2 linked regions of the Saccharomyces cerevisiae S288C genome follow. The gene in region 2 interacts genetically with the main gene of each other region. Each region holds a gene or a part of one and is shown on either strand. Other genes may lie near its edges.

Evidence for each region.
Region 1: mutations in SYC1 (region 2) and ARO7 together harm fitness more than expected from each alone (negative genetic interaction), as found in Saccharomyces cerevisiae (2 studies listed by BioGRID).

What each region holds. Positions count from the first base shown.
Region 1 is NC_001148.4:673,337-677,364, reverse strand, and holds ARO7 (chorismate mutase ARO7), read left to right. Parts: upstream 1-1,733; coding exon 1,734-2,504; downstream 2,505-4,028. Other genes in the region: FCY1 (cytosine deaminase), read right to left, coding at 1-200; JID1 (Jid1p), read left to right, coding at 483-1,388; YMC1 (organic acid transporter), read right to left, coding at 2,691-3,614; BRR1 (Brr1p), read right to left, coding at 3,869-4,028. UniProt on the Saccharomyces cerevisiae protein: Catalyzes the Claisen rearrangement of chorismate to prephenate. Acts at the first branch point in the aromatic amino acid pathway where it steers biosynthesis towards phenylalanine and tyrosine, and away from tryptophan.
Region 2 is NC_001147.6:670,375-675,489, forward strand, and holds SYC1 (cleavage polyadenylation factor subunit SYC1), read right to left. Parts: upstream 2,038-5,115; coding exon 1,471-2,037; downstream 1-1,470. Other genes in the region: putative dodecenoyl-CoA isomerase DCI1, read right to left, coding at 3,978-4,793. UniProt on the Saccharomyces cerevisiae protein: Component of the cleavage and polyadenylation factor (CPF) complex, which plays a key role in polyadenylation-dependent pre-mRNA 3'-end formation and cooperates with cleavage factors including the CFIA complex and NAB4/CFIB.

The sequences.
Region 1 (4,028 bases), on a different chromosome or scaffold from region 2:
GTGGAGATCTCACCATGTAGTGTGGCGGATCCCTTTTGAAATCTCATGTTGTGACCACGACCGAGAACACTTCCGTCTTTGTTATTGATAAGACATCCGCCAATAGGAACACCACCCTCTTTGTAACCTAAGGCCGCCTCCTCATAGGCAATGTCCATACCCTTCTGATCCCACTTGCTTGCCATTCCCCCTGTCACCATTAGCTATGAAATTTTTAACTCTTTAAGCTGGCTCTCATCAACATAAAACAATGGCTTGTAGATCTCATTGTCGAATTGAAAATGAACTTTTTAATTTCGCAAAAAAAAAAAGAAAAGTTCAGGGTCTCCGGGTACTACCGCCCCTGCAAGGAATGACCGGTGATAATGGAAGAGAAGATATTACAGCGACAGTATAATTAACAAACACGTTGTGTCTTTAGGCTCGTAACTAACTGTACGTATATCTACACACCATAGGTCACTACTTGCAATATATTTGTTATGCTACACCATAAGTTCGTATACCCATTTTTATTCAAGTGGCACTTATCATGTGTAGAAAAGTGTCCCCCACAAATCACTTTTATAGCTAAGTATGCTACAGCGAACGATAAAAATGGCAATAGAAAACTTACGATAAGGGATGAACAATGGCCTGAGTTGGCAGATCCAACTCCCTATGATATTTTTGGCATTCCAAAGGCCGGATCTGGAAATCCTAAACTGGACAAGAAGTCGTTAAAAAAAAAATATCATCGTTATGTAAAATTGTACCACCCTGACCATTCCGATAACATTCAAATATTTAGCTCAGAAAAGGTTACCAACAGTGATAGTAAATCACCGCTGCTGCTAACATCAAGCGAAAAACTACATAGATTTAAAGTCATCTCTCAAGCATATGATATTCTTTGTGACCCAAAGAAAAAGATCGTATATGACACAACGAGGCAAGGCTGGACCACATCGTATTCACCACGTTCTAACGTTAATACTGAAAATTACCAATATGCCGGCTCTTATGGCTACCACTCTAACGCGCAGTATGAATACTGGAACGCTGGGACTTGGGAAGACGCAAATAGCATGAAAAACGAAAGAATTCAAGAAAACATCAACCCATGGACCGTTATTGGCATAATTTGTGGCCTAGCTATATGCATCGAAGGGACTGCGTTGTTAGCCAAAATCCAGGAGTCTCTGAGCAAGGCCGAATTTACTCATGACGAAAGTGGATTACATTTGATTCAGTCATACACGAATTATGGTCTTGATACTGACAAATTTTCCAGATTGAGGCGGTTCTTATGGTTTAGAACTTGGGGACTTTACAAGTCGAAAGAGGATTTAGATAGAGAAGCCAAGATCAATGAAGAAATGATACGCAAACTGAAAGCAGCTAAATGAAATCACCTATTGCGCCGCTCGCGGAATACAATTACTAAATTTTATATATATTCTTTAAAAATGCATCTATACATTCGTTTTTCCACGTATACCAAATTCGAAAAAAGTTGTTAAACCATCGTTTTCACGTTTTTTAATTTTTTTTTGGTTCTCTTTTTTTTTTTTTTTCAATATCAACTTTTTTTCAAACTTCGTGTTGCATTTCCTTTATCGTAAATTTTCAATGGATCTCTATAATCTTCGAAGTTCGAAGAAAAGAAGAAAAAAAGTATTGAAAAGTTGAAACATCGATTCCGTTTTGCTAACAAATAGCACTCAGCATCCTGCATAAAATTGGTATAAGATATGGATTTCACAAAACCAGAAACTGTTTTAAATCTACAAAATATTAGAGATGAATTAGTTAGAATGGAGGATTCGATCATCTTCAAATTTATTGAGAGGTCGCATTTCGCCACATGTCCTTCAGTTTATGAGGCAAACCATCCAGGTTTAGAAATTCCGAATTTTAAAGGATCTTTCTTGGATTGGGCTCTTTCAAATCTTGAAATTGCGCATTCTCGCATCAGAAGATTCGAATCACCTGATGAAACTCCCTTCTTTCCTGACAAGATTCAGAAATCATTCTTACCGAGCATTAACTACCCACAAATTTTGGCGCCTTATGCCCCAGAAGTTAATTACAATGATAAAATAAAAAAAGTTTATATTGAAAAGATTATACCATTAATTTCGAAAAGAGATGGTGATGATAAGAATAACTTCGGTTCTGTTGCCACTAGAGATATAGAATGTTTGCAAAGCTTGAGTAGGAGAATCCACTTTGGCAAGTTTGTTGCTGAAGCCAAGTTCCAATCGGATATCCCGCTATACACAAAGCTGATCAAAAGTAAAGATGTCGAGGGGATAATGAAGAATATCACCAATTCTGCCGTTGAAGAAAAGATTCTAGAAAGATTAACTAAGAAGGCTGAAGTCTATGGTGTGGACCCTACCAACGAGTCAGGTGAAAGAAGGATTACTCCAGAATATTTGGTAAAAATTTATAAGGAAATTGTTATACCTATCACTAAGGAAGTTGAGGTGGAATACTTGCTAAGAAGGTTGGAAGAGTAAGCATGAAGGCTATCACGGTAACAATTCCACATTGCCGAGTGATTACTACGCATATATAAACACACACACTCACCATATATATGTACGCATAGTAGCATCTATTGAATATAAGAAGATAGAGTTTCAAGTTATACATTATATTGTACTATTTTCTTAAACGATGGCTCATAAATTCTATAGGAATTATCAACCCAATAACCTCATCGCTAATTCAAAAGTAGCAAAAGTGGCACCATTGGCGGGAGCAGCTCTTAGCATGGTAGGACCAAACCCTTTGAAAAAAGCGCCTATCCCTCCATTGGCATATAAAGTCTTGGCTACACTGGAAATAGAATTACCAAATTTAGGCTTTTGTAAATTATCCGTTTGCATGACAGACTTGATGACATCTAATGGATATACCATCAACCATAAGGCAGTGCCAGACAATGCTCCAAAAATACAAAGTTTCCATGCAGGAATGTCCTTTCTCTCTAGTCCACGTCTTTTGTTCATTTGGTTAGCAATCAACGCTTCATACACTAAGAAATATGTGCCACATCCATGACCTTCTCTCAATATTGTAGGTGTTAAACCACGTAGCAAGGCCTTGTTATGTCTTAATTTTTTGATGCATTCCAAAGGACCCTTGAATTCTGCGTTGGTGCCTGAGCCAGTCTGTGTTTGCAAGCGAATCCTGACATGCTCAATTGGGGACGCCAAGAATGAGTTTACTATACCGCCTGTGACACCACATGCGTAATACTGTGGCAATGACAAAGTCGATGACATATCAGCATTGCGATGATGAAAAAATCTCTTCATAGCTTCATTAACACCAAATTGTAATGAAACACATGCACCAACACCAATTAATGGCGTCAGAGTTCCTTTGTAAAACCCGCGAGGCCCTTCATTGGCAAGCAGCTTTCTGACGACTTCCATGGCTGTTGTTGGGGTGCTCGATGTTTGTAACCTAACTTTTGTCGTATCAAAGGGCTGGCCCACTAGCACTTGCGCAATACCACCCGCTGTACCTGCAAGCAAATCTTTCACGACTCGAGCATTATCATGCTGTGGATGTTCTTCCAAATCATCGATTAGTTGAGGAGATGGAAATTCTTCAGACATACTTCTTCGTGATGCGAATTTGATTGACGAGAAACCTAAACAAGAGAGCTGCGTTGGAGTATAGATGATAGTTGTTATTAGCTTATTGACATTGATTGATGCTATAGCATGGCTACATCATCGCTGACAATTTGCGCTCGAGTTTTCTTAGGGCGCCGCTTATCTTCGGCCTATCAGTAAATGTAAGAATGAGTCAATCAAAGTAATAACACTTTTTACTTCCTGTAAAAAACTACATAAGAAATTTATTTACATTATTCTATCAAGTCTTTTTGACCATAGTTCACTGCTATAACAGACACTGTCAGCTCAGTTATCGTCATATTCTCCACCGCGGCTGGTATCTCAACATTCAATTCCGCCATCTCCTTCGGGAGTGTTATTTTATTCTCATGTGCTTCAACTGGCTTCTTT
Region 2 (5,115 bases):
TATATCGATGATTAGCTGTAGCAATAACTGTGTTTAATGCCAGAGGAGAGAAAAGAAAAAAAATATAGTTTTGGTAATGGATCAAAAAAGTTACAGAAGTAATCTTAAATCTCTCTTTTTGTTTTATCGTTATCCGTTCCTTAACAAAAGTAAGAAAAAAGATGTAAGATAGACTATGGAAATAGTATATTATGCGTTATGTAATGGAAGGAAACTACAGATACGTATATATATATATCAAATGCAGTGAAACTAAGGATACAAAAGGAGGTGAATGATGCCTGAAATAGCAATCCCTTATATAACAAATCACGTATAAGCATGAGAAAAGCTTTCCCCAGATTGCGAGAAAAAAAAAAAGATAGGGAGGGAAGGGAATCTAAGATATCAAAGAAAAAAAAAAAAAAAAAAAGTAAAATTAGAGAGGAAAGACTGCGACAAATAGAGAAAAACTGTTGATTCGGGTTGTATTCGTTTCTTTTAGCAGTAGTTTTCTGTTGATTTGACGTACGTTGATTCACCCCCTGATGTTTTTTAGGCCACTGCCCCACTCTGCTGCAGATAACCGCCCATAACCCAGTGAGTATTTTTTTCGCCGCGTCCTCCTTGATTGTCTGTCTGGTGTTCTTTTAGCTTGGCTGTTACCAGCCTGCAGATCCACGCCACGCCATCTCACTTACGGACGAGGACGCTCTTCATTTGCTGCATTCATAAGAAGGGGCAAAAAAAAGAGGTTTGTCGCCGCTTTGGAGCAGCGCGTCTTTCCGCGGAAGAAATATAGTTTTCGGACCGAGAAGAAGCCACCACATCCCACTACTCGCTCAATACGATGTGTGGAGAATGCATGGTCTCTACGCATTTTGTATGACGGAGCTTACGTAAGCCGTTTCCTGCGGGGTGCGTCAATAGACCTTGACACTGCTGTGGTACTCCCGCCTTTCCTTTGTTTGCGTAACAGATCTCGGAAATTACATGGTGCGTGCTCGGGCTTTTTGTGATAAGAGTACTCCAGCACCGATTATTGGTGTTTACGGAGGCGCTTCGTAGCATTGCAGATACACACAAAACTAAGAGTAATAAAAATAGCTACGTAAAACAAGATTGGTTAAACTTTATTGTGCCGCTTGTGTACATTCGTATTCCGAAAAAGTAAGGTGAAATCACCGTCACCGATGCTCATGCAGCTACTCCTCACCTTTTAAGGTTGAAATCCGCTTGTCCTTGAGTAATATTCCTACGTATTATGGAAATAATGTACGAATCTGTGTCTATGTATGCCTCATAATTACAACAGTGTTGTTGCTTCTTCCTTATTTAGCCATAGATACGCTGGTTTGCGTTCTCCGCCCCCGCACCTACCATTTCCTTGGCGAAGTAGTTATATGGGGAAAACTCAACAACTTGTTACATAATCCACCAATAATTCAGATGAAAGCACATACAAGAAAATAAAAAGGTAAGTAATGACGTTCAGCACAATGGAGTTGTTAATTTCTGGCCAATGCTTAGTATGCTCTCCACTCTTCCCTTTAGTGGGTTCGAATTACAATCAATCAGCTTCATGGTGGAGAAATCGATCGTGGCTTTACTCTTGCCTATGGTGACGCTACCATTCTTTACATTTTCTTTTTTTCCTATTCCTTCATCGATGCTAAAACTGTCTCCAAATTGTTCTCGAAACAGATTTTGCAATTCTTGGATCTTCCAAACGTTATGGTTTCTCTCTTTCAATTCTGATTCAGATAGCACGTTCTTGTCGCTTGCACACAAACCGATGATCATTATTACTATACTATCGGCAATTGTTTGGCTTATCATTGACTTCTGTGTCCACTCAATTGAAACGCTGCTCGCAGATATTTCTACTTCGACGTCACCCAGCATTAACAGTTTCGTGGCATTTTCCGTTGCAGTTGTTTCTATGCAACCGAACGTTTGGACAATATGAAGGTACAAATCATTAGTTCGATCTGTCCCACTGTTATTTAGATTAATTCTTTGATGAGTTCTGTCACTTTTGTCCTTGGGTAAATCCATTTTACGTTATAATGCAAATTACGTGAGCCGCTCTTGTTCAGTCATAGTGCAGACATGCAATTTTATCTCCGTTTCCTCTTATTTTTTTCTTGTTTTTCTTGCTTTCTTCCTTTCCCGAAGAAGAACATCCGAAGTTAAAAAAAAAAATCTCAAATTTGAGACTATTTTATTCTATCGTTGAATGAGTGAATTTTGTAAAGAAGTAAGTGAATTGATTAGATAAAGCATGTTTATCACATAAAGTCTTTTTTCATAGTAGCAACGATGCTTGATACCATTATGATTTATATCTTTTATCCCCATCGTCGGTTATCTAAAAATTAAAATCAAAAAAAATACATAATCATTGTATACTACGATATCGCCTTTTCGGCTAGATTTCATATGCATCCCTCTCGGAAAACAACAACAGCACATATGCATAAAACCACTACTTTTAAAGACTCGACTTTGAGTGGCCTGGGTTACACAACTTGCGATATTTCGATGTTTTCTTCCCTAAGCGTCGCAGTTGAACAAAACATCGGCTAAATTCTTTTCTCTTAGCAGAAACTTCATAGAGTTCATTAATAGTGATGGCTCCTTTTAGGCTAGGGACCTTTTTCTGAAGTTCTTTCTGTCACTATCCTCCGCAACCGCCTTTAAACTATTGAATGATTACTTTGCTAGGCCAATTTTTTTCGATCATTAAAATAAATTCTGAATATACCATGAAAATAAAGTTGCGCTTGTGACCTTTTTCGAGAAACACCATTTCACTTGATTTTGCATAGTTATTAGCGAAAATAGCACGATTTTTTTTTTTTCGATGCATTTTCCCTTTGCTCTCCTTACCTGCAAGGTTAGCGCAAGCAAAATGTCAAAGATGCGTCTAATATAAACATGTATATATAGTCCAAGTGCATTCAAGGAATACTATCGTAACAACTTTTTTATCCTCCTTCGATTATGCAGTATCAATTGTCGAAGAAAAAGCTTAGGTCACAATATGGTCGAAGGACGGCATATCATGATTCTAAGAATGCCTTTCTTTCTAAAAAGATGACGTTTGGTTCTATTTCAGTTATTCCCAGTTTGCTACCCATTTTTCTTTTCATTCCTCGAATACTTCCAACAAACATATAAAAATTTTCGTAATCGTTGACCTATTTTGGGGAGTTCCTTTTTTCTTCTTTAGAACTCCCTTTGGTTATATTTATTACTACGCAGATTTCGAGTAGTTGTCACATCAAACAGAATAAAAGGGGTATTGTAAATTTACTGACTTTTCCATCAATCCCGTATGAATGGATGGCTTACATATCTTGGAACGCAGACTTCGAAATTAAGTATTTAGGAGTGAGAATGTGCGTTAGCATTTTGTCTCATATCTAAATATTCAAGTTTAACTTGTATTATTTGTCCTCAGTACAAGAGGTGTACGGCTTTTGAAAGTCCACTCCCCCATTTTTATCCGGATCTCTGCCGCTGGATTCTATTTTGTCACAAAGTTTGTGCCTTGGAGAGCGCCGTTTGCCAGCCCGTCATCAGTAGGACCCTTTTGTGCGGCTGCCAAATTTTCTAGAGATACCGCCGCGGCCGCCTCTTGTCTGGAAGAATTTGCATTGCCAAGGAAATTGATTCAGTTCATTAAGTACAGTTGTGAAGCACTTTAGTTACTTAACATGAATGACAGTTTTATTAGGTGTAAAAAAAAATCCTTTTTTTCAGAGAGCTATTTGTAAATATTATATGAATATTAAAAAACATCCTTTTTGAGTAAGAATTCCTATGAAACAAAATGGAACAATTTCACTTATATTGTAAGCGGATTTTACAACAGATATAAAATATTGTGCGCCAACATTAAAGTATTAAAGAACCCGGAATTTAACAATTGCAGAAGTATGATCGTGTAGTAGATTTTTTATGTTAAAATCCTATCTCTAAATGCTATATTATTATAACTTGTGGCGCCTGTTTCCCTCTTGAAGCTGTTTAAATCTTTTGAATGGCTCGCCGCTTGCCCAAAAAGGCAAGGTTCCGTTAGTCTCCATTGCTTGTGCTTTGATAAGCTTCTGTTTCATTTCACTGTGTAACAATTCTTTCATACCTAGTACACTTTTCGGATAAAGCCCTTCTAAATTCTGCTTTATGTCCTGAAGAACTTTTTCATTGAATGTTTCAGTATTTGTCAATTGATAATTTTTTGTAATAATAGTTCCTATCAATTCTTTAAATAGAACTGGTGTGCTGAAAATCATATGTTCGTTTGCAGAATTTATACCCAGTTTTTGAGTTAAGGTAACAGAAGTTCCCACTTCTGCGACAAAACCGAGATTGCTGAAGGGAAAAAGAAGAAATACTGAATCGTTTTGCGAGTAAACAATGTCACAAAGAGCAACTAGCGATGCGCTAAGTCCGATGGCCGGTCCATTCAAACAGCACACCAGAACCTTTTTATGGATTGCAAATGCGTTCGCCACAAATATGTTAGGAGAGCTTATAGCAGATACCAGCTTTGAGACTTTCTCCACTTCGCTTGTAACGTCTCCATCGTTTAGCTTGTTAACTGCTGAAAACTTACCTCCCGAGGAGAAATACTTGCCTGAGCTTTGTAGAACAGTAAACAAAACAGAATCAATATCGTTTGCCTTATGCAGTAATAGTGCAATGTATACAAAATCCTCGAAAGTTAAAGAGTTCAAATGTTTTGGATCAATTAATTTGATTATGAAAAAGGGACCATTAATATGGTAGCACACACGACTGCTCATAGTTAGAAGATAACTCACTAGACTTAACACCAGAAAATCCTACTCTGTAATAAAATAATCCCGGGGTAATGGATTGGATTTTTCTATCAGGATCGTTTACGTATATATAATACACTGTCGGAGTTTAGCGCGCTTACAGCCGCTACTTGTGGAGTCCTTTTTTTTTTTTTTTTTTTGGGGTTTCAGACATCCAGTAAAGAATAGAAACAAGCAACAAACTTCAGAACTGAAACAATGCTTTTTTAAGTTATCGCCTAAATATATTCAAAAAATATAGATATGCTAGATTTTCAATTATACCAAAGTTCATATTTTCAAAATG